2 linked regions of the Pelodiscus sinensis genome follow. The protein of the gene in region 2 purifies or fractionates together with the protein of the main gene of each other region. This does not show direct contact. Links are inferred from orthologs where the notes say so. Each region holds a gene or a part of one and is shown on either strand. Other genes may lie near its edges. The genes, in order: SLC27A2 and SAAL1.

The links.
Region 1: the proteins of SAAL1 (region 2) and SLC27A2 purify together in Homo sapiens (co-immunoprecipitation; 3 studies listed by BioGRID and IntAct, with this or other methods). This does not show direct contact. The link is inferred for Pelodiscus sinensis from reciprocal best matches to the Homo sapiens genes SAAL1 and SLC27A2.

Annotation. Positions count from the first base shown.
Region 1 is NC_134724.1:20,624,476-20,636,694, reverse strand, and holds the start of SLC27A2 (long-chain fatty acid transport protein 2), read right to left. Parts: upstream 4,942-12,219; 5' UTR 4,800-4,941; coding exon 4,322-4,799; intron 1-4,321. UniProt on the Homo sapiens protein: Mediates the import of long-chain fatty acids (LCFA) into the cell by facilitating their transport across cell membranes, playing an important role in hepatic fatty acid uptake.
Region 2 is NC_134714.1:113,252,361-113,264,210, reverse strand, and holds the start of SAAL1 (protein SAAL1), read left to right. Parts: upstream 1-7,225; 5' UTR 7,226-7,585; coding exon 7,586-7,708; intron 7,709-9,651; coding exon 9,652-9,765; intron 9,766-11,850. UniProt on the Homo sapiens protein: Plays a role in promoting the proliferation of synovial fibroblasts in response to pro-inflammatory stimuli.

The sequences.
Region 1 (12,219 bases), on a different chromosome or scaffold from region 2:
TTTTCTGCTGCTGTTTTGGCTCTCTTTGTTAAATGGGTTGGCCACCCCTGCTCTCCCTATTTGTTCTACACAGACCTTGGGCTGCATGGAGAATTGGGTTTGGTGGCAGGAAGGGGAATCTGAACCTCCATTCTCCATGAAAGGTTTAATTTAGAACCTTTCCACATTTAGATCTAATGAGCCATAGTCTGGCACCCAACATATGTAAACACAATACACTCTACTCCTGTTTATAGCTGAATCAATATACTCCTTTGCAGAAATCTGTTCAAAGTATCCTTGCAAATAAATAACAATAGTCACCCTGACCCAGGGTAGCACAAAAATGCAGAGTAAAGGTCAAAATTCAAATCAGGGAAGAAAAAGTAAATGTGTAATAGAGGGGAAATCTGTCTTTTTGTCTTCTCCTTATATTATTTTAACGGCCAGAAGTGTCTACTATAGCTAAGGGTGGAAAAATTATTTCATTAATAACTATTTTCAACCATTCATCTTCAATTTTTTTTTCTCATTTTGGGATGAAATATTCTTTGTTTGGTCTCTCCCCAAAGCTGAATACTTTTTGGAAAAGTATATTTTCTTGTTCTAAACACTAGCTTTTCCTCATGGTGTAAACTTAAAAATTGGTTACTTTTGAAAGTTCAAATACAGTATGGAATTCATTCCCACTAAGGTTTAGTTTGTGTGCTATACTCGGAAAGGTTTGTTTTTAGCTCATAAAATTTAGGAACATTTAAACATCTGCATAGAAAAGGACCTTTCCCTGCAAATATTAGTGCACATATTCTATCTTCATACATGTGAGTAGTCTCATTGATATCATGTTTGCAAAAGTTGGCAGAAATGGGGCTAGACTAAAGAGAGGCAGTGTAACCAAGTGGATAAAGCAGTGGATCTGTGACACATAGTACCTGGCTTCTATTGCTGGCTCAGCTAATGACCTGCTAGGTTACCATGGGAAGCCACCTCATTGTGCTGTGCCTCTGTTTTCCTATTTATAAAAAGGGACTTATGACTGTTACTTCCAAGGTAAAGTGCACTGAGATCTACTGACAAAAAGCTCTCTGTAAGAGTTCAGTATTATTGGTAGTTAACAGGCACTAGTTAGCTAATGCTCCATTATCTAATGACCTTGTTTATCAGTTTTTCCATTTTGTTTTTTTCTTTTTTTAAGTATAAACATGTAACAAAGTCTTTATGGGATCAGGGTCTTATAATGCAGCTAAAAAAATCTCAGACTAGTTTCAGTCCACCTGTAACAAAAGAGCAATGATTTCCCCATTATTTAAACTATCTAGGTATCCTTGACATTAATTTTTTTATTTGAACCTGTAAACTGTTCACTCTATTGCAAATTAATTCATTAATTTGTAGTAATAAAGGTTATTTTATTTCTTGCATTGCACAGATCAAAAAGGAAAGCTTTTTAGATGTTACTGTTTAGTAGAGAAAGCCCTGTTACCTAAGTAAAGTATCTTTTTCTGGTGTGTTCCCCTTATTATACACATTGGATATGAAAATTAGGGCTGTCAATTGATCTGCGTTAACACCTGCGATTAACGCAGTCCAGGATTAACGTGTTAATTGCAGGCGTTAATGCTGCACTGCCCCCTTGAAATGCTGTTTTGGTGTTTTGGACTCCAGCTGATCCTCAGCTCCTAGTGTGCTGCCCCTTTAAAGGTGCTTTGCAACATGGAGCTGGGAATCAGCTGGAGTCCCCAGGTGATGCCAGACTCCTAATGCATTGCCCCTTGGAAATGCCTCTGCAGTGCTTCCAAGGGGCAGCACTGCATGGAGCCCGGGGTCAGCTGGGGACTCCAGCTGATCCCGTGCTCCATGCAGCGCTGCCCTGTTGACTGCGGTGTTTCAAAGGGGAGGTGCATGCGACTAATCATGTTTAAATTTTTTAATGGCTTGACAGCCCTAATGAAAATACATTGTCAATGGCTACGTCTAGACTGGCCATAAATTCCGGAAAAGGGATGCAAATCAGGTAAGTCAGCATAGGGAAATCCTTTGAAGTAGGAATAAGAGATCCTCCGGAAAAGGGCTTTATTCCGGAGGATCGCGCCACTCTAGACGCTTTTTTTCCGGCTTTTCCCCAAGTCGGAAAAAAAGCGGTGGACATGTTTATTTAAATCCCGCGGGGGATATTTAAATCCCCCGCGGATTTCCCTATGCTGACTTACCTGATTTGCATCCCTTTTCCGGAATTTGTGGCCAGTCTAGACGTAGCCAATGAGTTGAGAACATTCATAGATTCTAAGGCTAGAAGGCACCACTGTGAGCATCTACTTTGACCTCTTGTCTCTCACACCAGGGCCATCCCTAGAGAGTTGCGGGGCCCTGGGCAACCACCCACCTCAGTATCCAAGGCATGGAACCAGGGACGACCCCTCCACTGCAGGCTGTGCCCTGCCCAACCTCTGCTCCATCTCCACCCACCTCTTCCTGCCTCTGCTTTGCCCTTTCTTGTACCTCCCCTCCCCCAGCGGTGTGAGCAGTGGGATTACCTGAGAGGCCTGGCATGGGGCTGATGGACCATCCAGCCTGCTCCACTCTGCTCTCCCACCCATCTCCCGCCCTGCTGCCCTCCTTGCCACAAACCCCCAGCCCTGGCCCCAGCCTGCTGCAGGGCTCGGAGAAGCAGACTGGGGCTGGGGCGCTCTGTTTCCTGCCAATGCAGAGAAGTGGAGCACAGCAGGCTGAGAGATGGGTGGAGCGGAGTGGAACAGGCTGCCAGGTTGCTCCAGTTCCTGCTGCCATGGTGAGTGCAGGGGGTGTGTGATCCCTGCTACTGCCCCCTGCTGGTCTCTCCCCCAGGCTGCCTTGGGTCACTGGCTAGTATGAGAGACTATCACATCCATATCTCAAAAAGCACATGTATGTTTCAGTGCAACATCCCAGGCTTAGCTATTTGACAAAACCCTTCCGCACTATGGCACAGATCCTGCAATTCTATTTCATCTAGATACTGCCCCACTTTGCCCACTTGGAGCCCCTCTAATGTTCATGGGGCTACGTGCAGGGGGAACACCTAGACAGGGTCAATTTCAGGATTAAAGTTTAAGGCCCTAAATTTGATGTTAATAGGGGTACTCACAGAGAGTAAAGTTAATCATGCACATGGGTAGGACTAGGGCCTCACTGATTGTATCTTGTATGTCAGCACTTGCTACGTATTGGCATAATCCATCCCCACCCCCAGAAAAAAACCCCTTGTGGCCAAGGCATCTCCTTTGCCAGGCCTCCCCAAAGCAGTGGGAGCAGAGTTGAAACAGGGCAGCCAATAACCCTTACAGAAGACTCAGTTTACTAATTCACTGACTTTTGATCCAGTTACCTTTGTCCTGCACCAACCTCCTGTTTCTTCACTGTTTGTTGTTCCAAATTACAGAAGCTGGAGAGACCAACTCTTCACAATGAAGTTGTAGCAGAAAGCACTGTAAATGTTAAAGGAACAACCCTCCTCCTCCAGCCACTCACCACCCCTTGGGACTGTCCCCCTTTCTGGGGTACCTCCCACCTCCTGGGGACCAGTGTGTCCATCCATGTTTTCCATCCATGTGCAGAATAAATGTTTTGTGTGCATCAAGCATGTGCACCACCAACAGAAACAAAAAAGCCAGCTGTGGGTGCCCTGCTAACCAGCTAGGTGGCATGTGAATCTTTCCTGAGCAACTTCACAAGCACCCAGCTTACAGGCAACACTGCTGGGGATTGTCCCATATCCTGGGCTACCCTCATCTCCACTTCTGGGTTAAGGCTGTCCCTGGGGGACTGTCCCCTACTCAGGGCCGGACCAAGCTATTCCGGAACCCTGGGCAGACAGTTTAATTGCGCCCCAGGTTGGGGGAGGGTGCATGTGCGGCCCCACCCCCACCCGGCATGTGGGGGAGGGCACATGGAGCTGGCGGTGGCAGGACGCATGTGCCCAGCCCAGCCCAGCCCAGCAGCCCAGCCCAGCCGCTGCAGGATGGCCGCTGGGAGCTGCTGCAGCCCGCGATCTGGGAGCCGGGCACACAGCGCCTGATGGCAGCTATAAGGGGCATTGTGCGTCCCTTACAGCTGCCATCAGGTGCCCCCCCATAGGTTGGAGCCCCGGGCAGCTGCACGGCTAGCCCATGCCTTAATCCGGCCTTGCCCCTACTCCCCACTCAGAAAGCTGCAGGGCAGGTGAGCTCCCTGCCTGAGCAGATATGGATGAGCAGAATGTGTGGCCCTATGGGTGGGCGGCTGGGGCCAGCCACGCCCCTTATCGCCCCACCGCGGGCAGCTGCGGGCTGAGCCACCTGTCAGCCTAGGCGCTGGAGGGTCTCACCTGGGGCTGCCAGCAGCACCTTGGCCCCGCTGCAGCGGAAGCAGTGCAGCAAGGACTGGGCCCTGATGTTGCTGTTGAGGCAGGCCATGGCGCAGCCCAGCTTGGCCAAGCCCAGCCAGATCCAGAGGTAGGCAGGCTCGTTGCCCATGAAGAGGGCGAGGCAGTCCCCTGGCTGTAGCCCGGCCTGTTCGCGCAGCGCCCGGGCTACCTGGCTGCTCCGCTTGTCCACCTGCTCGTACGTGTGCGTCTCCTCTTCGAACAGCACAAAGGGCTTGCGCGGCGCCTGGCGCGCCCGCTGCAAAAACACCTCCAGGATGCTGTGCACCGGGTCCCGCGCCGCGTAGCTGCGCGTCCGTCGCGACACCCGGGCCAACTTGAGGAAGAAGCAGAGGTCGCGGAAGAAGTAGGGGCAGGAGAGGTTCATGAGCAGCGGCAGGAGCAGCAGCGGCAGGAGCGCGGAGTAGAGCCAGGAGAACATGGTCCGGGCCGGCTAGTGCCTAGCTCAGGGGACGCGGGGCGCACGGAGCGCGCTAGGCTGGCGGAACGCGGCGCGGCGCCCGCTGCTCGGCTCCCGGCTGGCCAGGGGCGGGCTCAGTCGCTCCTCCCCAGCGGTGCCCCAGCGGGGGTGGGGTCAGAGGGAGCAGGGGCGGGGGCAGGAGTCGTCTCCGGGAGGAGTCAGGTACCGGCCCCCTGGGGCTGGTGGCAGCGGAGCCAGCGCCTCGGTTTGCCAAAGCGGGGCGTGGGGAGAGCTCGGGAAAGCGCCTTTGCTGGAGCGGGAGAGCCCTTTGCCCCCGCTGGCCAGCGCGCTGTGGGGATACCAACTCCCCCTCCCCTCAACCAGCGTGTTCCCGGGCTCCGGCTCGCCTACCGAGCGGCACCTCGCTCCCCGCAACCGCAGTGGCAGGCCAGGGGCCTGGGGAGTGAGGGGGTCTCAGAGAAAGCAGGAGGGGCAGTAGCAGCCCCGAGTTCCTCTCCGATTTCCCTGGGAGAACAGGGCCCCACCCGGTTACAGATGCCTTGCGGCAGGGACGGGCGGTGGAGTGGGCACCTCTCACACCACTCCCCTGGCACCAGTGCGCACAGGCAGGGGCAGCCCTAGACTAGCTGCCAGCAACTCGTGCCCTAGGCAAACCATGCAATCGGGGCCACCACTTCCAAACCCTCAATGATATTGCACCACTATTTGGCGCCCCATTTAACTTGGTGCCCTAGGTGACCGCCTAGTTCACCTATATGGATAGGCCATCCCTGTGCACAGGACAAGAACGCTTAGTTCCCATGGATGGAAACAGCGGTCTGTCTGATTTCAGTGGTGATAATGGCATTGTGTGGTACAGCGGGCAGCCGCTTCTCTGGCCCACTGAGCCGAGTCCCAAAGTTTGGGGGATTATGGCCGCGGTCAAACTGATTTCTCTTCAGGGCAAATGCTGCTTTCCCTTTTCAAGTATCAAAGGGGTAGCTGTGTTAGTCTGTAACTTTAAAAACAACCAGTACTTCTGTCGCACCTTAAGAGTTCATGATGGGATATAGATATTTGTTTATCTAAGATGCTACAGGACCACTGCTTAGTTTCCTTTTCAAGTGTAGGTATAGCTATCCGGAGTGACACCCCACCCAGCACACAGGTGCACAGTATGGAATGAACCAACTCACAAAGAGACCTGAGCTCCCATCTTGCTTCCACTGATATCTCTAGCAATTTCCCATGACCTAAAGGGAAAGGGGACTGGAGACTTAATATAAATCTCTTCTGAAATTTGTGGAAAAACTCACAAATCAGGTAAAAATATGGGTTCCTCGTATTTCATCATCAAGGGCAAAGCATAAGTACTGACCCTTGAAGAAATGACAGTGAAAATAAGGCCCATGGGAAATTCTAGGCAGACAATGAGGACTTGTCTGTAGGGGGAATTTCTGGGACAGTGAGCAGATGCACGCTATCTAGGCTAAAGGACAGAGATGGCCAGCTCACTAGCACCATGAAATTCTTTAAAGGAAAAATTGTGTCTCCTGCACCTGCGGCTCTTCTCATGGTCCCCTGCGCCGACCTTTTTTTCTTTGTCTGGGCAGAGCATCACTCAGGGCAGCAAGAGCTGATGCTGCAGCCAACGGAAGCCTGCTTGGGCCACATGCTGCTTTTAAAGGGGCAACAGGCTTTTTTTTTTTTTTTTTTTTTGCTCAACAACTTCTTTCCCTTGGCTTTCTGCGCTGTATCCACCACCATTTTGGCTTTGTCTGTAATGGGTTGGCCACCCCACTATAGGACATCAGCTGCAGCAATAGTGTGTGCACAGGATAGCTATGTCCCTGTTTCCATTCACATTATTGTGTAGATGTCACCGGGCTTGGCATACATGGCATTCTGGGTGACTAGCCCAGGGGTCTTTCTTTGGCTGCTGAGCTGGGTGCACTCTGGGATTGCTCTTGCTATGCCTGGGAAGATACATGGTAGAGACCAGTGGAATTTTGAGACTTTAGTTACTGATGTGCAACCCCACTGACTTAATTAGCATCACTCTTGATTTGCTGCAGTGTCATAATCAGGACCAGAGTTGCACCTGTGTTACTCCATTCATTCCAGGCATTGCTGCTGATTTGCATTGGTGTAAGGAGATCAGGTTGGCAGCACTTAGCAGAAAGTTGATAAAAATGTTAGTGAGAGGCTGCAGGGGAAGGCAAAGGGAAGGAACAGAGAAGGGATTTTGTCTTTCAGTACACTTACAGAGTAAAGGGTTCAGGGATGTGAATGTGTATTCTGAATTGCTCCAGTACTGTCATTTGAAAATATGCTTGCTTTTGGAGCTGTCTCTCATGCACATGCCAACTATGGTTGTTGATGATGATGATGACGACAACCCCAAAGGAAAAGTGCTAGGGACTACACATTTGTACAGTCTGTGAACTGCTCTCACAACGTGTCTGGCCACTCCTGAAGCATAGCCAAGTGTTGTAGTTAGCTCTGCCCTAGAGTCAAGGGTGCTAGTGTCAGCACTGTGGTAGGGTTCTGCACAGGTATGTTGGAAGTGCCACCATGCTAGTCACTCCCATGCACAGGCAGCCCGTTAGCTGTGCACTGTACAGAGAATAATCATCAGCTGTCTAGAAAGTTGCCAGTGCCCATCAGCTCATTTATTGGCCAATCCACCAAAAAGCTCCCCACATAACCACAGAAAGTTACAGGAGTGCAGGACCAGACTGCCACAAGCAACAATTTCTGGAGCTGCTTTTGTGTCAAGGAAAATCCAGACCTATTTTCTTAGTCCCCCTTCCTACATTATAGTGTGTTGGGATTATACCAAAAAAAACCCATTGTGTGGGATTTGGGGCGGGGATTTTCCAGACAGTTGCTCAGTGCATACCATTGAAGATATATATCGATTAATTGCCTAGGACAGAACTCTGTGCTGCACCCAGTCAGGGAACAGCAGTCCAGAGAATTAGCACAAGGTTTATGCACCAGTTAAACCTGAGTAAGCTCTCAAAATAAGGCTCACATGGGATTTAAGTGGTGCATAGACATTGTGCTTGTCCTCTGCATAGGGGTGAATTTTACCCACCACTAAGCCTACAAGTTGCTGACTCTACTCAGTCTACATCTGTCGGAGCAAATCTTATCTTAGTTGCTAACAGTGGCTGTCTCTGGAAAAGTAGCTGCAATAAGCCTCAGAATGGGACAGCAGTGGGAACTTCTGTACAACTTTAAAGCAGATGAAAACAAATGGGATGACAGTAAAGGCTTGTCTGTAAGGGGTTGTCCAGAATAGGAAGGCTAAGAATATTCAGTGCTACCACTATTCTGGAATAGCCATCCCTCTCAATTTCCACATGTAGGTAAACTCTTAGGCTATGTCTACACTGCAGGCTCCTTGCACAAGAACTGGCTTGCGCAAGAGTTCTTGCACAAAAGGTCTTGCACAAGAGCATGTCCACACTGACATGCTTTTGCGCAAGAGATGTGCTTTTGTGCAAGAGCATCTATGGCAGTGTGGACACCCTCTTGTGCAAGAAAGCTCTGATGGCCATTTTAGCCATCGTGATTTCTTGCGCAAGAAACCCCTGTTGCCCATCCACGCTGCCTTCTAGCACAAGAAGCCCTCTGTTCTGATGCTGTACTGTAAATTTACTTGTGCAAGAACGCACGTGTAAGCAGGGTCAGGGTAAACTCTATCCTGACATCTAGTGGCGAACTGTGGCAAGTGGTGCAAAGAGACTTCAGGGGCTGAGCCCAATTTGCATAGACACACCAACCCTGTCTAGTATGTGCCACAGCAGCCCAAATCGTCACTTTGGCCACTGTGGGAGCCCCAGTCTCTCTGTTATTGAGGCAGAGGGGATAAAAGTGTTGTTACCCTGATTATGCGAATCAAGGACAATGGAATGGTGGAACTGTTTATGACAGAGGGATTCGCCATAAACTAAGTAGCACTCGCTAGACAAGGGGCATGGGTTCCAAACCCAGTCAAATTGAGAGAGGTTGGGGACAGGTCTTGGTACCTGGTGGTGGGATCCTGTTTGAGGGCCTAAACAACACTGATTGTACTCCCTCCACTGTGAAATATCAGAGTTAATTTAGATTCCATTAGAAGTCTAGTTGTGAACTGTGGAGCTAACTTTGCTGTGGGCCAGTGCTAAGGTTCCTCTGTTATGAGCTGAAATCACTGTGTGCTGTGCTGCGGATGAGAGCTGAAATCACTGTTGCTGAGGGGAGCCTGGCGCTGTGCTGCTAGCAGAGCAGTTTGCAAGGGGCAACCAGCAAGCGCAGGCGGACAGTAGATGCAGCTGGTGGGGCAACCTGAGGGCAGACAGCGAAGCCGCTGACGGGGGTGGCCTGCGGCTGGTAGGAGCGGCAGCCGGCGGAGCAACAGCAGGAGCAACCAGCTGGCAGCCCGGAGCATGGACCGAGACGGTTGGCGGCTTTGCGGAGCCGGACAGTGGAGGCGGCTCACCTGACGACAAGTGGAGTGTGGCGGAGTGACTTGCGTTGACGGCGGCGGCATGGAGAGGCGGAGCCACCGCCGGGCCACGTAAGGTGCATCGATCCCCACCCCTCCAGGTTGGGATGGTGAAACCCTGCCGGGTGGACTTTTGAACCCTGGGACGGCACTGACCCAGGGCTGAGATTTTTGGGGTGTTGGACTTTTGGGACGTTGGGGAGATTTGTGGCTGGGGGGAGTTGGGGAGATTTGTGGCTGGGGGGAGGGCCTTTGCTCATTGTTTGGTGGGTAAATCCGAGTTGTGGTGTTTCCCCAATTTAATGCAGATGTCGGTTACCTCATGTTATTAAAGGTTTGCTACTATACTGAGGCTCTGTGCTTGCGAGAGGGGAAGAAATGCCTCTTTTGAGGCACCCAGAGGTGTATGTAAGATTTCCCAGGTCACTGGGTGGGGGCTCGAGCCGGTGTTGTATTGGGAGGAGACCCCTAGATACTGAACCCGTTGGGAGGAGACCCCTAGATACTGAACCCGGCCCTTGCTGCTGCTATTTACTCGGCCTGGCAGAAGGGTTACACACGTGCAGTGTAGACACTCCACAAGTTTTTGCACAAGAATGGCTGTTCTTGCGCAAAAAGCCTGCAATGTAGATGTAGCCTCAGGGTATGTCTACACTGCACCCATAGCTCAAAATAAGCTACGCGTAGTAAGCTACGAAACATATTGCGTAGTTTATTTCAAGTCTATTTCAAAATAGCTTATTTCGAAATTTGGTGCTGTCTACACAGTACTTATTTCAAAATAAATTGCTATTCCAAAATGTCCCTTACTCCTCGTGGAATGAGGTTTACAGAGGCATCAGAATAGTGAACCCGTTATATTTTGAAATAATGTGCTTGCTGTTTCAGGATGCCTCCGCTGCAGTGTAGACATAGCCTTAGATAAGCTATCTGAGGTAGCTCCCATTCTGGTTACCCTGGACAAAAACCTAAGTCTACAGTCTCGTCTATTTTTGTTGGGAATACTGGTAAATAACAGCTCAGTGCATGAGACATTTTGAGTTTACTGTCTGATTCTCAGGAAATCCCAGAGACTGTAGATAGAGAATCATTGGTGGTTAAAGCATAAGATTGAGCTAATGACATCTTCCATTTTCCCAGCTGCTGCGTGGGAAGCAGTTTGAGGCCCTCTTTATCCTCGTAAAACTCACTTTCTATTGCAAAAACTGGTCGCGGTTGCTAATGGTTTTTCACTCTAAAATGTGAAATGAAGCAGTATCTGGTGTACACGTCATTTTGGAAAAGGCAGCCAGGAGAAGGGTTCCAGGTAATCAGGCACATAGCAAAGCAGAAGCCATGTGGTCTGAGGCCTGCTTGCAAACCAGGGGTCGGAACTGTTTGGCAACTGTGTGCCTGTTAGAAGCAAAAAGCCATCGGAGAGTGAGGGAAGCACTTTTGAGTATGGACCTGAGAGAGTGCAGAGAGGGGGCGACTTCTTGGGGCACAGGCTGCACTGGAGAGGCAGGTATGGAATTGTGTGTTTGATATTGTTTCTTTCTACTATGTTGTACTGTGTCTGGGGAAATTGGACGTTGTGTATATTCTTTGTAAATAAACAGGATCGCACCAAAGAAGTACTTAACTCATATCAGTAGTTTCTTCTCTTGAAGGAAACAGCCTGGCAAGCCCCTGAATATTGGCTTCCTGCTCAGGTCCAGGAACACTATAATACAGAAGAAATATTAACAGGAAGAATGCTAAAATAGAATTATATATAAGGACTCCTGAGTTTAAAGACAGTATATTCTCAAGTTTCAGAGGGGTAGCCGAGTTAGTCTGTAACTGGAAAAACTTAAAAAACAACCCGTAGTCTAGCAGCACCTAACGACTAACAAAACATGTAGCTGGTATCATGAGGAAGTGGGTTGTGCCCACGAAAGCTCACGATACTATCTACATGTTTTGTTAGTCTTTAAGGTGCTGCTGGACTATTCATTGTTATTTAAGTTTTTCCAGTATATTCTCAAGTTCACCCCAAACTCTCTTGCATGTAGAACAATGTAGAATAACTCACATACCTACCTGTTTTACATTTTTTTCCTATGAGGAAGAAAGCGAAAAATGGATTTTTGCCTCGCTCTCCCTCCAAGAACACTTACGTGTCTCAAGCTGGGCAGCTCAGAAATGGGTACTTCCAAAAGAGTGAGCATTTTTGGAAATAGGATCCCTAGCCCATTGGTCTCTTGAGGTATGTGTACATTGCGATAAAAAATGTCTGGCACCTAGGGCCAGCCCACAACATTTTGGCACCTGAGGTGGGGAGCTCAAATGACGCCCCAATGCCCCCTCGCTTGGGCCAAAACTTTGAAAGGTCTGAATTCTCTGGGTCCTAGTGGCGCCCTCCTCCCCCCCACAGTCTGGCACCTGAGGCAGCCACTTCAGTTCGCCTCATGTTAAAGCCAGTCCTGCTGGCACCAAGTCTCAGAGCCTGGGTCAGTTGATGGTGCTGAGGCCGTGGGGCTAAAAATTGCAATGGAGACACTTACGCTCCAGCTGGAATCTGAGCTTTGAGGCCATCTGTGACAAAGTGGGGTTTTATTCACCTTGCTATGGTGCATGTGAGTCTCTTACTGTCCTACACTAATGCTGTGTGCACATCAGTTTCCCTGGAGATTTCCCCAGTGCCTACATGGTGATGGGAATTGGGTGTGTAACATTGCTGAGGCCCTCAGAACATGTGAGGCTGCCAGCAGCCTGCCTGTAAGCAATGGCTAGCTGATGCCCTTGGTAACCTGAGCCCCGGGAGGGGGATGCAGCCAGGGGACACCTTTTACCCAGGAAGCAGGACACAGGCTGGAGGAGGAGCAGTGAGCGTGGCTGGGGCCAGGCAGCTGGAAGAGAGTCAGTCTTGGCTGGCGTGGGGCACGGGGGAGGGACAGAGCCTTCTCTTCCTCCCAAGATGGATTT
Region 2 (11,850 bases):
TAATTCAGGGCTTGTCTATGATTACCACAGGATCGATGCACCAGAGGTTGATCTTCGAGCATTTGACTTAGAGCGTCTAGTAAGTACCTGTTAAATCAAATGCTAAAGGCATCCCCATTGACTCCTGTACTCCTCGCACTCACGAGGAGTAAAGGAAGTCGACAGGAGAGTTTCTCTCATCGACCTCCCATTGTGGGGATGCTGGAGAAATTTGTCTTGAAGTGTGTCAACTCCAGCTACATCATTCTCGTAGCTGGAGTTGCATATCTTAAGCAAACCTCCTCCGTTAGTGCAGACCTGGACTCAGTTAACTTTCCATCCAATGTGAGAAGTTACGAAAGAGGTGGTGGATTATGAACGTAATTTGTTTTCCGTCACGTGTCCTATTGTGTTAATTCTGTGATGTATTAAGTTTCCATTTCTGAAAAATCACATGTGAGCTTTACATAGAATCCCAAATTACAGAATGGCCAGGAGGGAAGTAAATTGGTCATAAATATGTGTTAAGATCAAATTATTTCTCTAAAAATGCAGGAAGAAAATTTGATATCTTCAGGGAAGAGATTCTACAGAGAAAGTTTACTGAGAGACGCCTCAAAGCCAGATTGTTCAATGGGATTAAGTAAGGACAACACAGTTATACTCTGTTGTCCTTAAAAGTCCTAGAATTGTTTTGGGCTAGTGCACAGGACTGAGTTAGGACTATTTCACAATATCTTCCCAATCATAATGACTTTATTCAGATTCCATTCCCATAAGAACCACGCTGAACATTTACAAGAGCTGCTTTTTTGTTTACAAACTCGAGGTCAATGTCTGACCTGAATTAGGTATTTACCTTCATCTCTCCAATTAGAATCAATAGGAGTATTTCATATGATCTCCCATGCAATGATACAAAAATGTAAACTGCATCTACTCCATATGAATAACAATTGAAATAAGACTGTGATTTATTAGAAATGAAAACTCACTTTACAAAGTCAGCTGAATTACTGATAGAACTGATAATTCCAATCCACTGGTAGTATTTGAATTAAAAGATTTTTTAAACTCTTTACATTTAACTTCATATATCTTATGGCACAGATATTGACTACAAAGTTACTCAGTAAGTGAACTGCTATTCAAACAAACTATAATCTCCCTTTAAAATTCATAATGGTGGTAATAAAAGCCAGTTGATATTTTTCAAAATTCAAAAATGAAAAAGGGAAATAAAGAAAATTTTTGCAAAGATGGCATCTCATTTCTGGTCAGTAATTATGTTTTATTTGTTTCTATTGCCATAGCCTCTTGGACCCAAATTCATGGAGTAGAACCCATGGATGAGGCACTGTATGAACAAAATGAAAAGACAATTCATGCCCTAGCAAGCTGATGGCAAATGCTTTTCCAGCTACTTTATGGCATCTCTTTTGGGGAAGGGTAAAACTGGTTTGGCATGTATGGTACATACAAAATAATTACTAAAAACTTCTATCTAAAAATCTGATACAAAATATTGCTCATTTTACTAATTTAAAGACATGTTAAGCAAGTCAGAAAGTGACTGCCTTGCAACTTCCAGTAAGTGATGGATATTTCATCACAGTGGGCAGTAGTTAAATGCTGTAATTGAATGGACAAGGCAGGCATTGACCAAATCAAAGTAGGAAGTCTCTAGAGGAATTCCCAGCAGAAGCAATGTCTATTTGCAGTCAACAAGCAAAAAGTTGCTCAATTTGAAGTTAGCAGGTTTATGTAAATTATTTCCTGTTTGCTCTCTAAGATAAAGCCTCCAATAAATACTGGACCATTTTTCCTTTTGAGAATCCATCAGAACTCTGCATTTCAGGGACTATGCAGTACAGCAGTGGTAAGTTTGGTTGTAAGAGGAAATTTCATATTTGTACCACTTTGCCTTGTTTTAATTCTGTTTCTGTCTTCGAACAAGAGCTGTTTATGGTGTAAAACTGTTAAGCGGAAATTCAAACTTCTAGATTTATGTGTTGTCTCCCTGCCTGGTGCTGTGATTGCAGAGGGGATTTAATTTTTTCTGTGTAAAAACGATCACTTTGGTAATGCTTCAGAATTGCGTGTGATCCTTTTGATACATGTAGCTGTTCCACAGTATTTATAAGAGCAATGAGCATTATGGCTGGAGTCTTTAAAATATGGCCTGGTTTTCTGACACCTACTTTTCCTATATTACAGCCTAAATAAGTGAAGAATGAAGTTCTGCAACTGCATGCTGTTACTGTCTCTGGTACTGTGTGTCAGTGCCCAGAACTGGTTCACTAATGCTGGAGCATTCATAAGGGATGCTTATCGAGGTATGCTTTTACTAACTGTATGTTCTTCTTCAGAAGTGTCCTCAAAACTTATGTGCAGCAGGATGATGCAGTTCTCTTTCATATCCTCCTCCAAAGATGTCATGTGTTGCAATCTACAGTTAATAAAATAACATACATGGCTGCAAATCCCTGTATTTGTAATAGGAGTCGTGTGTGCCAAGGAAAGCTGGGGAAAATTTTTGGGGAGGGGATACCAAATTCATTAAAAAATATAATTTGCAAAAAGTTTTAGTAGTGCCCATAAATTTAGGTGAAATTTGGCAAATCGTTTTTGTTGAAAAAACACGTCACAACTAATAATTTTCACAATGAACAATTCTTACATTTTGCTGCAGAAATGTCTATTCAAGTCAACCTGAACATTTTTTATGTTTTTCATTTTGATGCGGGAAACCCTAACAATTCTGCATTGGTTTGAAACTAAACCATCTTTTGGGGACTTCTCAGATCTTCCACTGAACCAAAAACTCTAGTGTTTGCTCAGGGGTATAGAGGAGACTTTCTGGCTTCTCTGGAATCACTGTACTTGAAGTTATCATTATGAAGTGACTAGAATGGTGCTTAGCTACCTCAGAGGCAGGTGCATGGAATAACCTCACAGATTTTATACTTACAGTCCCCTGTAATCCTCTCTCTCTTGTCCAGGTGCCGGGGATATGTGGCGTGCTTACGATGACATGCGGGAGGCAAACTATAAAAATGCAGACAAATATTTCCATGCTCGTGGGAATTATGATGCTGCCCAAAGAGGACCTGGTGGTGCATGGGCAGCAAAAGTTATAAGGTAATTGATTCTACTTGGATTATGAGTTAAAAGTCAGTAGAGACCTGTGTAATCCAAGACCTATGAAGTACACTGCAATTCATAAATAGTTGTTATCCTGTTTGAAGCAACTACCTTTTTATTTAGCATCTGAATTGGGTAAATATGAAGACAGTTTCTGAGCTGACCAACTGTTATATAGATCACTTCACTGTGTATAGGGAGGCCCATGTTTACACCACAGGGCTTTTAAAATTTAAAAAGCTGCAAAACCTCTCTTTCAGAACCAGTATTTGTTGCCCTTGCTATTTCATGCACGGACACAATGATCATAAGGTCATTTAATGAGGATTGTTTGTGAATGTTGCTGTTGAACATGATGGTGATGATACAAAGGTGCTTATGACGGGTGGGTAAAACTTAATGGAGGCAAGTAATGGGAAGGCTTTTGAACTACTGCACTTCTGGTATGACCTCTGCTATTCAGAGACAGGTTAAGGTAGAGGTGTGTGTATGAGAGAGAGTGAGTGAGAAGGAATATGAGCTAATATCTTTTGGTGGTGTTTTTGTGTGTCCTCAGTTTTATAGAAATGTAGGGATTAAACTGGTGGTGAGGAAGAAAAGTAAATAATTTAGTTATTGTGATTTAATTAAAAACTGTCTAAGATAATCTTTTTTCCTCTTTCCAGTGATGCCAGGGAAGGTTGGCAGGGTGGCATTAGTGGCAGAGGAGCAGAAGACACCCGTCAAGACCAGGAGGCAAATGCCTGGGGTAGAAATGGAGGAGACCCAAACCGCTACAGACCAAAGGGCCTTCCCTCGAAATACTAATGCAGCCCATAATAGTTAACAGTAGTTCTATTGTACCAACTGTGCAAAGAACCCACAATAAATAAAATCTTAAAATTCTGACGCTCTCGGTTACATGAGAAGAGATAATAAAACAATATACGACATTATCTTGGTGAGTCAGAGGAAAAGGAAACCCTTAATTGCACCAGGTGTGGAAGAAAATTCCAGATTATTTAATTCTTATCCATAACTCGATTTCTTGCCTTTTCCTTTGAAGCAGTGGGTACTGGCCAGTATTTTTCATGGGGTTGGGAACCCGGTTTCATTTTAATGAGCAGTAATAATGTTTGTGTTTTAAACATATAGGCTATGTCTACACTGGCCCCTTTTTCGAAAGGGGCATGCTAATTTTAAACTTCGGAATAGGGAAATCCGCGGGGGATTTAAATATCCCCCGCGGGAATTAAATAAAGATGTCCGCCGCTTTTTTCCGGCTTGGGGAAAAGCCGGAAAAAAGCGTCTAGACTGGCCCGATCCTCCGGAATAAAGCCCTATTCCGGAGGATCTCTTATTCCTACTTCGAAGGAAAATTAGCATGCCCCTTTCGAAAAAGGGGCCAGTGTAGACGTAGCCATATTGTCGTCAGATAGGTATAATCTCTGTTCCATCAGAGGTCAGGCTAGAAAGGCTGGATTATAGGCATAGCTCCCATTGTGTGAGAGCAAGAGTGAGTGAAAATAGCTAGTGACAGGCAGGGCAGAACTAAGTACAGGACTAGTTGATGTACATCAATAAAAACTTGGAAGCGTAGGAGGATTCAAAAGGATCAATGCTCATAACTTGAAATTAAAAAGAAAGAAAAGGAAAGGAGAAACAACACCATATCAAAATGAATATGCGGTTTGTGGGTATGAACAGAAGTAATAGGGGAGGGATAAAGTAAAATGTTTGGGGACCACTGATCTAAGATATGGGCCTCAACACAGATTCGCTTAGATTTCCTCCAGCTTTATTTCTCTGTCGTTTTTGGTACTTGTGTGAAGCTGAGGGTCTGTGTTTGCTGTCTACTTCATAGGTGATCAAACCCACTCCACTTGAAACCTTTGGAACTCTGCAATTTGAACTCACAGAGATTCTCCCAGCACATGTCCCATTCTTCCCTTTAGTAATAGTTTAAAATGTTCTGTTTCACAACTGTTTTCCACTTCTGTTTGGCTACGTCTACACTGGCATTATTTTCCGGAAATGCTTTTAACGGAAAAGTTTTCCGTTAAATGCATTTTTGGAAAATCACGTCTAGATTTTTGCAGAAAAGCGTCCTGCCAATCTAGATGAACTTTTCTGCAAAATAACCCCGATCGCCATTTTCACGATCGGGGTTTTTTTGCGGAAAACAAATCTCTGCTGTCTACACTAGCCCTTTTGCGCAAAAGTGTTTCGGAAAAAGACTTTTGCCTGAACGGGAGCAGCATAGTATTTCCGCAACACAACACAAAATTTCAAAATAAAGCCCTATTCCAAAAATCTCTTAACCCTTGTGGAAGGATGGTTACAGGGATGCTGGAATAGCATGGAATAACATCAGTAGGTTAATTACTTTAACTGATCTGTTCTTTCCTACACCTCAAAAAATTAGGTGGGTTGGAGTGGGTGTCTGGATGTGGCCGGGCTGAGGGGGTGCTGTGGGGTGGCTGAGGAGTTGTCTGTAGGTGACCTCAAGGGGCGCTGTCGGGCGGCAGAGGCGTTGTGTGTCTGGGGGGGGCTGCAGGGAGCGCTGTGGGGTACCGGAGGTGCTGTGTGTCTGTGGAGGAGCGCTGTGGGGAAGCAGAGGTGCTGTGTGCCTGTGTGTGTGTGTGTGTGTGGGAGGAGGGGGCCTGCAAGGAACGCCATAGGCTGTAGGGGGCGCTGTGGAGCGGCGGAGGCGCAGTGTGTCGGGGTAGGGGAGGGCTGCAAGGAACGCTAGAGGCTGTAGGGGGCGCTGTGGGGCGGCGGAGGCGCAGTGTGTCGGGGGCCTGCAAGGAACGCTAGAGGCTGTAGGGGCGCTGTGGGGCGGCGGAGGCGCAGTGTGTCGAGGGCCTGCAAGGAACGCTAGAGGCTGTAGGGGGCGCTGTGGGGCGGCGGAGGCGTAGTGTGTTGGGGGCCTGCAAGGAACGCTAGAGGCTGTACGGGGCGCTGTGGGGCGGCGGAGGCGCAGTGTGTCGAGGGCCTGCAAGGAACGCTAGAGGCTGTAGGGGGCGCTGTGGGGCGGCGGAGGCGCAGTGTGTCGAGGGCCTGCAAGGAACGCTAGAGGCTGTAGGGGGCGCTGTGGGGCGGCGGAGGCGCAGTGTGTCGGGGGCCTGCAAGGAACGCTAGAGGCTGTAGGGGGCGCTGTGGGGCGGCGGAGGCGCAATGTGTCGAGGGCCTGCAAGGAACGCTAGAGGCTGTAGGGGGCGCTGTGGGGCGGCGGAGGCGCAGTGTGTCGAGGGCCTGCAAGGAACGCTAGAGGCTGTAGGGGGCGCTGTGGGGCGGCGGAGGCGCAGTGTGTCGGGGGCCTGCAAGGAACGCTAGAGGCTGTACGGGGCGCTGTGGGGCGGCGGAGGCGCAGTGTGTCGGGGGCCTGCAAGGAACGCTAGAGGCTGTACGGGGCGCTGTGGGGCGACGGAGGCGCAGTGTGTCGGGGGCCTGCAAGGAACGCTAGAGGCTGTAGGGGGCGCTGTGGGGCGGCGGAGGCGCAGTGTGTCGGGGGCCTGCAAGGAACGCTAGAGGCTGTAGGGGGCGCTGTGGGGCGGCGGAGGCGCAGTGTGTCGGGGGCCTGCAAGGAACGCTAGAGGCTGTAGGGGGCGCTGTGGAGCGGCGGAGGCGCAGTGTGTCGGGGGGAGGGGAGGGCTGCAAGGAACGCTAGAGGCTGTAGGGGGCGCTGTGGGGCGACGGAGGCGCAGTGTGTCGGGGGCCTGCAAGGAACGCTAGAGGCTGTAGGGGGCGCTGTGGGGCGGCGGAGGCGCAGTGTGTCGGGGGGAGGGGAGGGCTGCAAGGAACGCTAGAGGCTCTAGGGGGCGCTATGGGGCGGCGGAGGCGCAGTGTGTCGGGGGCCTGCAAGGAACGCTAGAGGCTGTAGGGGGCGCTGTGGGGCAGCGGAGGCGCAGTGTGTCGGGGGCCTGCAAGGAACGCTAGAGGCTCTAGGGGGCGCTGTGGAGCGGCGGAGGCGCAGTGTGTCGGGGGGAGGGGAGGGCTGCAAGGAACGCTAGAGGCTGTAGGGGGCGCTGTGGGGCGGCGGAGGCGCAGTGTGTCGGGGGGAGGGGAGGGCTGCAAGGAACGCTAGAGGCTGTAGGGGGCGCTGTGGGGCGGCGGAGGCGCGCGCTGCCGGTCTCTCTCTGGCGGGCTGCCGGGCAGGGTTGTTGTTGCCGGGGCGGCGGGGAGCCGGTGCTAGGTGAACCCCGTGGGCGGGAGGCGGCCGTTCGCGGGTCCTGCGTTGTTCCCGGAGGGGCGGCGGGAGCGGGCCGGGTCCGGCTCCTTGTATCCCTCCGCACCGTGCCCCTGTCCCTGCCCTGCCCGAGCGGCGGCGGCTGGGCGGGGGAGCCGGTGCCCGGGAGGGGGGGGCGAGTCGAGGCGGGCGGGGGGCGGCTGGCAGCGCTTGCCTGGGCTCACTCCGTGCCCATCGTGGTGTGGACACAAGCCGGATTGCGGGGCAGCCTCGGCCCAGCGCGGTGTCTGCGCCATGGACCGGAATCCTTCGCCCCCTTCCAGCGACGCGGAGGAGGAGGCGGGCGCGGGGGATTGCATCGGGGGCACCGTCTACAGCAAGCACTGGCTGTTCAGCGTCCTCACTAAGCTCATCCAGGTGCGTGACACGCGGGGGGTGGGAGCGGCTGCGCCCGGCGAGAGCTGCGGCAAAGGGCAGCAGGGAGCGATTGAAGAGCCGGCAGGGAGCCGGGTTGCCATAGGACGGTACCTGTAAGAATTTGTCAGTTACTGTCCCTGCTGGGGATAAGTCCCACCCATCGGCCTGGGGACTCTCTTAGGTACTGAGCTCCTGCTGTGGGAAGCATAGGGCCTGCGGGGTGGGCAGTGGGTGTGGTAACATGGAGAGAAAATGACCTCCGTGCGTGGCCAGGATTTTACCTGTTCCCTGTTATAAGGGAGGCTGAAGAGCCATTTAAACTAAAGGACAATGTTGGGGCTAGAATAAGCAGGTGTAAACAGTCCATGAACAAATGCAGGCTGGAAAGGAGAAGAATGTTTCTAGTCATCAGAGGGGTAGGAACAGCCTCCCTAGGAGTTGTGAGGTTTGGGCACCAACTCAGTGTTAGGAGAATGCTGGGTAAATGTCTGGGTGTCAGTGTCTGACAGGGTTGATTGTGATGGGGGGGGGGTGTATTCTGGGAGCGATTTTCTTTTTTAATTGCCTTCCTCTGAAGGGATAGCTGGGGCTAGAGATAGAAATGTGCATATAGGAGAAGCCAGGACTCTTAGGTGGCATCAAACCAGTGCTTTCTTGTTACCAAAAAAAAAAAAAAAAAAGTGCCGGTACTCCAGAGGAAAAGTTGTTGAGCTCTGACTGGAGGTGCCAATATGGTGTCTGGAGGTGCCCAGGTACTGCATCCTGGGCAGTATCATCACAAAAAAGCACTGCACCAAACATTCTCTCTCTCAGGTGCTTGACTGGCGGGTTCCTGCTCACACGCTCAGGCTATGTCTATACTGCAAGCCTCTTATGTAAGAGCAAATGCAAATGGAGTGCTCAAAAAAATGAGGAAGAACAGCTCTTGCGCAAAAGGGGGTTTTTATGCAAAAAGGAGCCATCTCCACAGCGCTTTTTTTGCGCAAAAGGGAAAGGAAGAGGAAATGCAAATGAGTGCTCCATTTACATTTGCTTTTCTGCAAGACGCTTGCAGTATAAACATAGACACAGGATCTAATCAATTGCTGTATGTGGGGTCAGGTAGGAGTATCCCCCCCCCCCCGGTTTAAATTGGCAATGGCTTTGGGAGATTTTTGCCTTCCTCAGCAGCGTGTGGGTTACTTGCCTGGATTATAGTGCATAATCTCACATAATGGATTATATCCCTCCCATGGTAGGGGAGGAGGGGGAGGCAGGGAAAAGGGGTGTATATCTCAGGCACTGATGCACCTCAGTGTTTCCTATTCTCCGTTTCACATAATAGTCCAGTCTCTTGTGGACTGTACAATTTTTGTCTCATTTTGGTTGTTGGGGGTTACTGTCCAGGTGTTGGGTGACGCGGGTGTACTATGAGACATGGGAGGTCAGACTAGATGATCTGTCTGTCTCTTCTGACCTGAAACTCTGTGACTGATTTGTTCTCACTACAGCTTTAGTCCTTTGTAGCTCACCAGACATGTCTAATATCATTCTATGATGAAATAACTTTAATATGGCTAGGTCAGTACACACAATTGTGTAATATCTCTGAAAAGGAAGCAATACTAGGAACTTTTCAAGAGAGGCTCTCACATCCTCTAACAAATGTTAATTAAACTTCTTGGCAATCTCTCAGATAGGTACAGTAAGTGTTTTTGTCCCTGGTTTTTAGATGGGGAAATTGTGGTGCAGCCTGCATATCATTCAAGGAAAGTATTTTCTGCCTAAGAAGATTCATTTAGAAAATGCTTAAAAATGAGCAGTACAGTTTTGGAAGATCTAAATAGAGTAGGTTGCAGGTGACATCTACCTTTGGATAACTAAAACAATAGATTGTCTTGAAAAATTAATTATTTCTTCACTGTCTCTTATTATTGCACCATTTCTTTTACTTCATTTGATAGGTCATTAGCCCTGAAAAGAATGACTCCAACTTGAACAGTGAAGAAGTGAAGACAGAACTAGATGAAGAAATGGAGAATGACGTTTGTAAAATGTGGGACATGTCAATGGACGAGGTATGTTGGTGAGCAGCCTTTAACAATGTGCAGAATACAATTTTAAAACTGAGAAATTTCCCTGCAGTGGAAATTTAATTTCCTCAAAGAAGAGTATAGATAGCATTAGTTAGTAGAAGACCTAGAAACAAACATTCTCTGCTATTTTCCCAACTTGAACGGTTTTGCTCCTTTATTTTAGCTGGCATTTATCTGGTGAGGGTCCCCTAAACTGAGTGTGCCTGAAAAGTTGACAAAAAAGATGTTTCAACCCCATCTACCTGTCACGAGGCTTTTTCAGGTATCAGGCTGTGAATAGCAAGCTTTTTTTCAGGCACTCTAAAGCAAACACTCTGAGGGAAGACCATCAGTTGGACACAGGCAGATGGGTCCCAGGAAGAGAAGGGGTTGAAGTTGCATGAGTGCTAAAATTCAGTATTTGCTGCAGTCAAAATAGTACAAGTATATGCACTGACCTGTGTGTGCAAGAAAGAAACCAATGGATTTTATTATGATGTACAGAAAGCAATGCAAGAAGTTTGAAGACAAGATATGTTATAATGTTGGGAATCTTTCATGTGAAAGTGGGATTGAACTGGATTTCTGGACTGGAGCAATAGGCAGATTCAAACTCAGTGAAGAAAGCAAAAGAGGGAGAGAGGCTACTAAATTTCTGCCTCTGTAACAACTGGGTGAGAATTAACATACTTTTCCAACAAAGAAAGCTGATGAAGGAATGGAATTGGTTAACATTTGATGGGCAAAGGAAGAATACAGTAGGCTTTGTACTTGTGAAGTACAGGTGGGAATCAGTTGTGTTGTCATGCAGATCACTTGTGGCAGATATTGGATCAATTCATATATTAGTGTTGGCATTGGGGTTAAGAACTGAAAACATGCTAGGAACTAAAATCTCTGACAAATTAAGGAGCAATGTTTGAAGAAAACACAAACTGCAGAAAAACGTCACATTTCTCGTAAAAAAAAATAAAAGTAGTAAACATTGAAATGACATAGAACATTGGGTTTAAAAAAAGAGCAATAGTAAAAAATGAGAAACAAGTAGTATTGAAAGATAAGAGAACTGTACAGGACATATGAGTTGAAGATATCAATAGTGAAAGACAAGCGGAACAAACAATTGAGGATGAAAACAAAGCATAAAGGAGGAAGAGACTATTTTGAAGAGCAGTACAGAGCTCAGACTATAGTATATAAAATGGTCCTTGAAAAGTTTTTCTGTACAGATGAAGGAGAATGGAAGCAAGATTTCTGAGAAGCAAAGATTTCACTAAAAAGTCTGAAAAATGAAAAAGTGCTGGAAAGTGGTAAAACATCTTCAGAGCAGTTAAAAGTAGATGAGGAACAGATGTTAAAAGCAATGTACAACTATTTGACAGAGAGAAGAATGAGTGTAAAAACTATAAAGGAATCAGTTTACTGAGTGTGTACAGAAAAGCACTTATCAGGGCCTTGGAGAGGAGAATGAAATGGTACATAAAGCAGGCCAGATTTAAACCAGGAATGGAATATTAAGTCAGCTATTTGTGATGAGACAGATATCAGAGAAACGGAACACAACCAAATTTGTTATAACAACTTTAGAGACTTAAAACAGTCTTTTGATAGCATTTAGCAGAAGTTGATGGAAAAATTCAGGATAACCGTAGGCATGAGACAAGTATGGGTACTTCAGTTGATTTGGTCAACTTGGTACTGGAAGCAATATGGATTAGCACTGAGAGATAAGATGACTCATTTCATGTGGGAGGATTAAATTCTGGGAGAGGATATTGATTTCATAGCATTGTCAGGTAAACTCGGAAATCAGGAAATTTGCTTTGAATATCAGCATGAGGAAGGCAAAGCTATAACAACTGGAAGTTGAGAGAAAAGGTCAAGCTCAAAGGTATATACAATCATGTGTGTCTCTTTTTCTTTTGTCAATGATTGTAATTGACAAGTCTGCAAGGGTTAGTAGATAACTCATATGTCCTAGAGAATTTGACAAATGTTTGACCTAGCCTGATTCCACAAGAGAAACATTTGATTTATATGTGGAAATTATATTTTAAAAAGGAAATAGATGCCTAATTAACACATTTT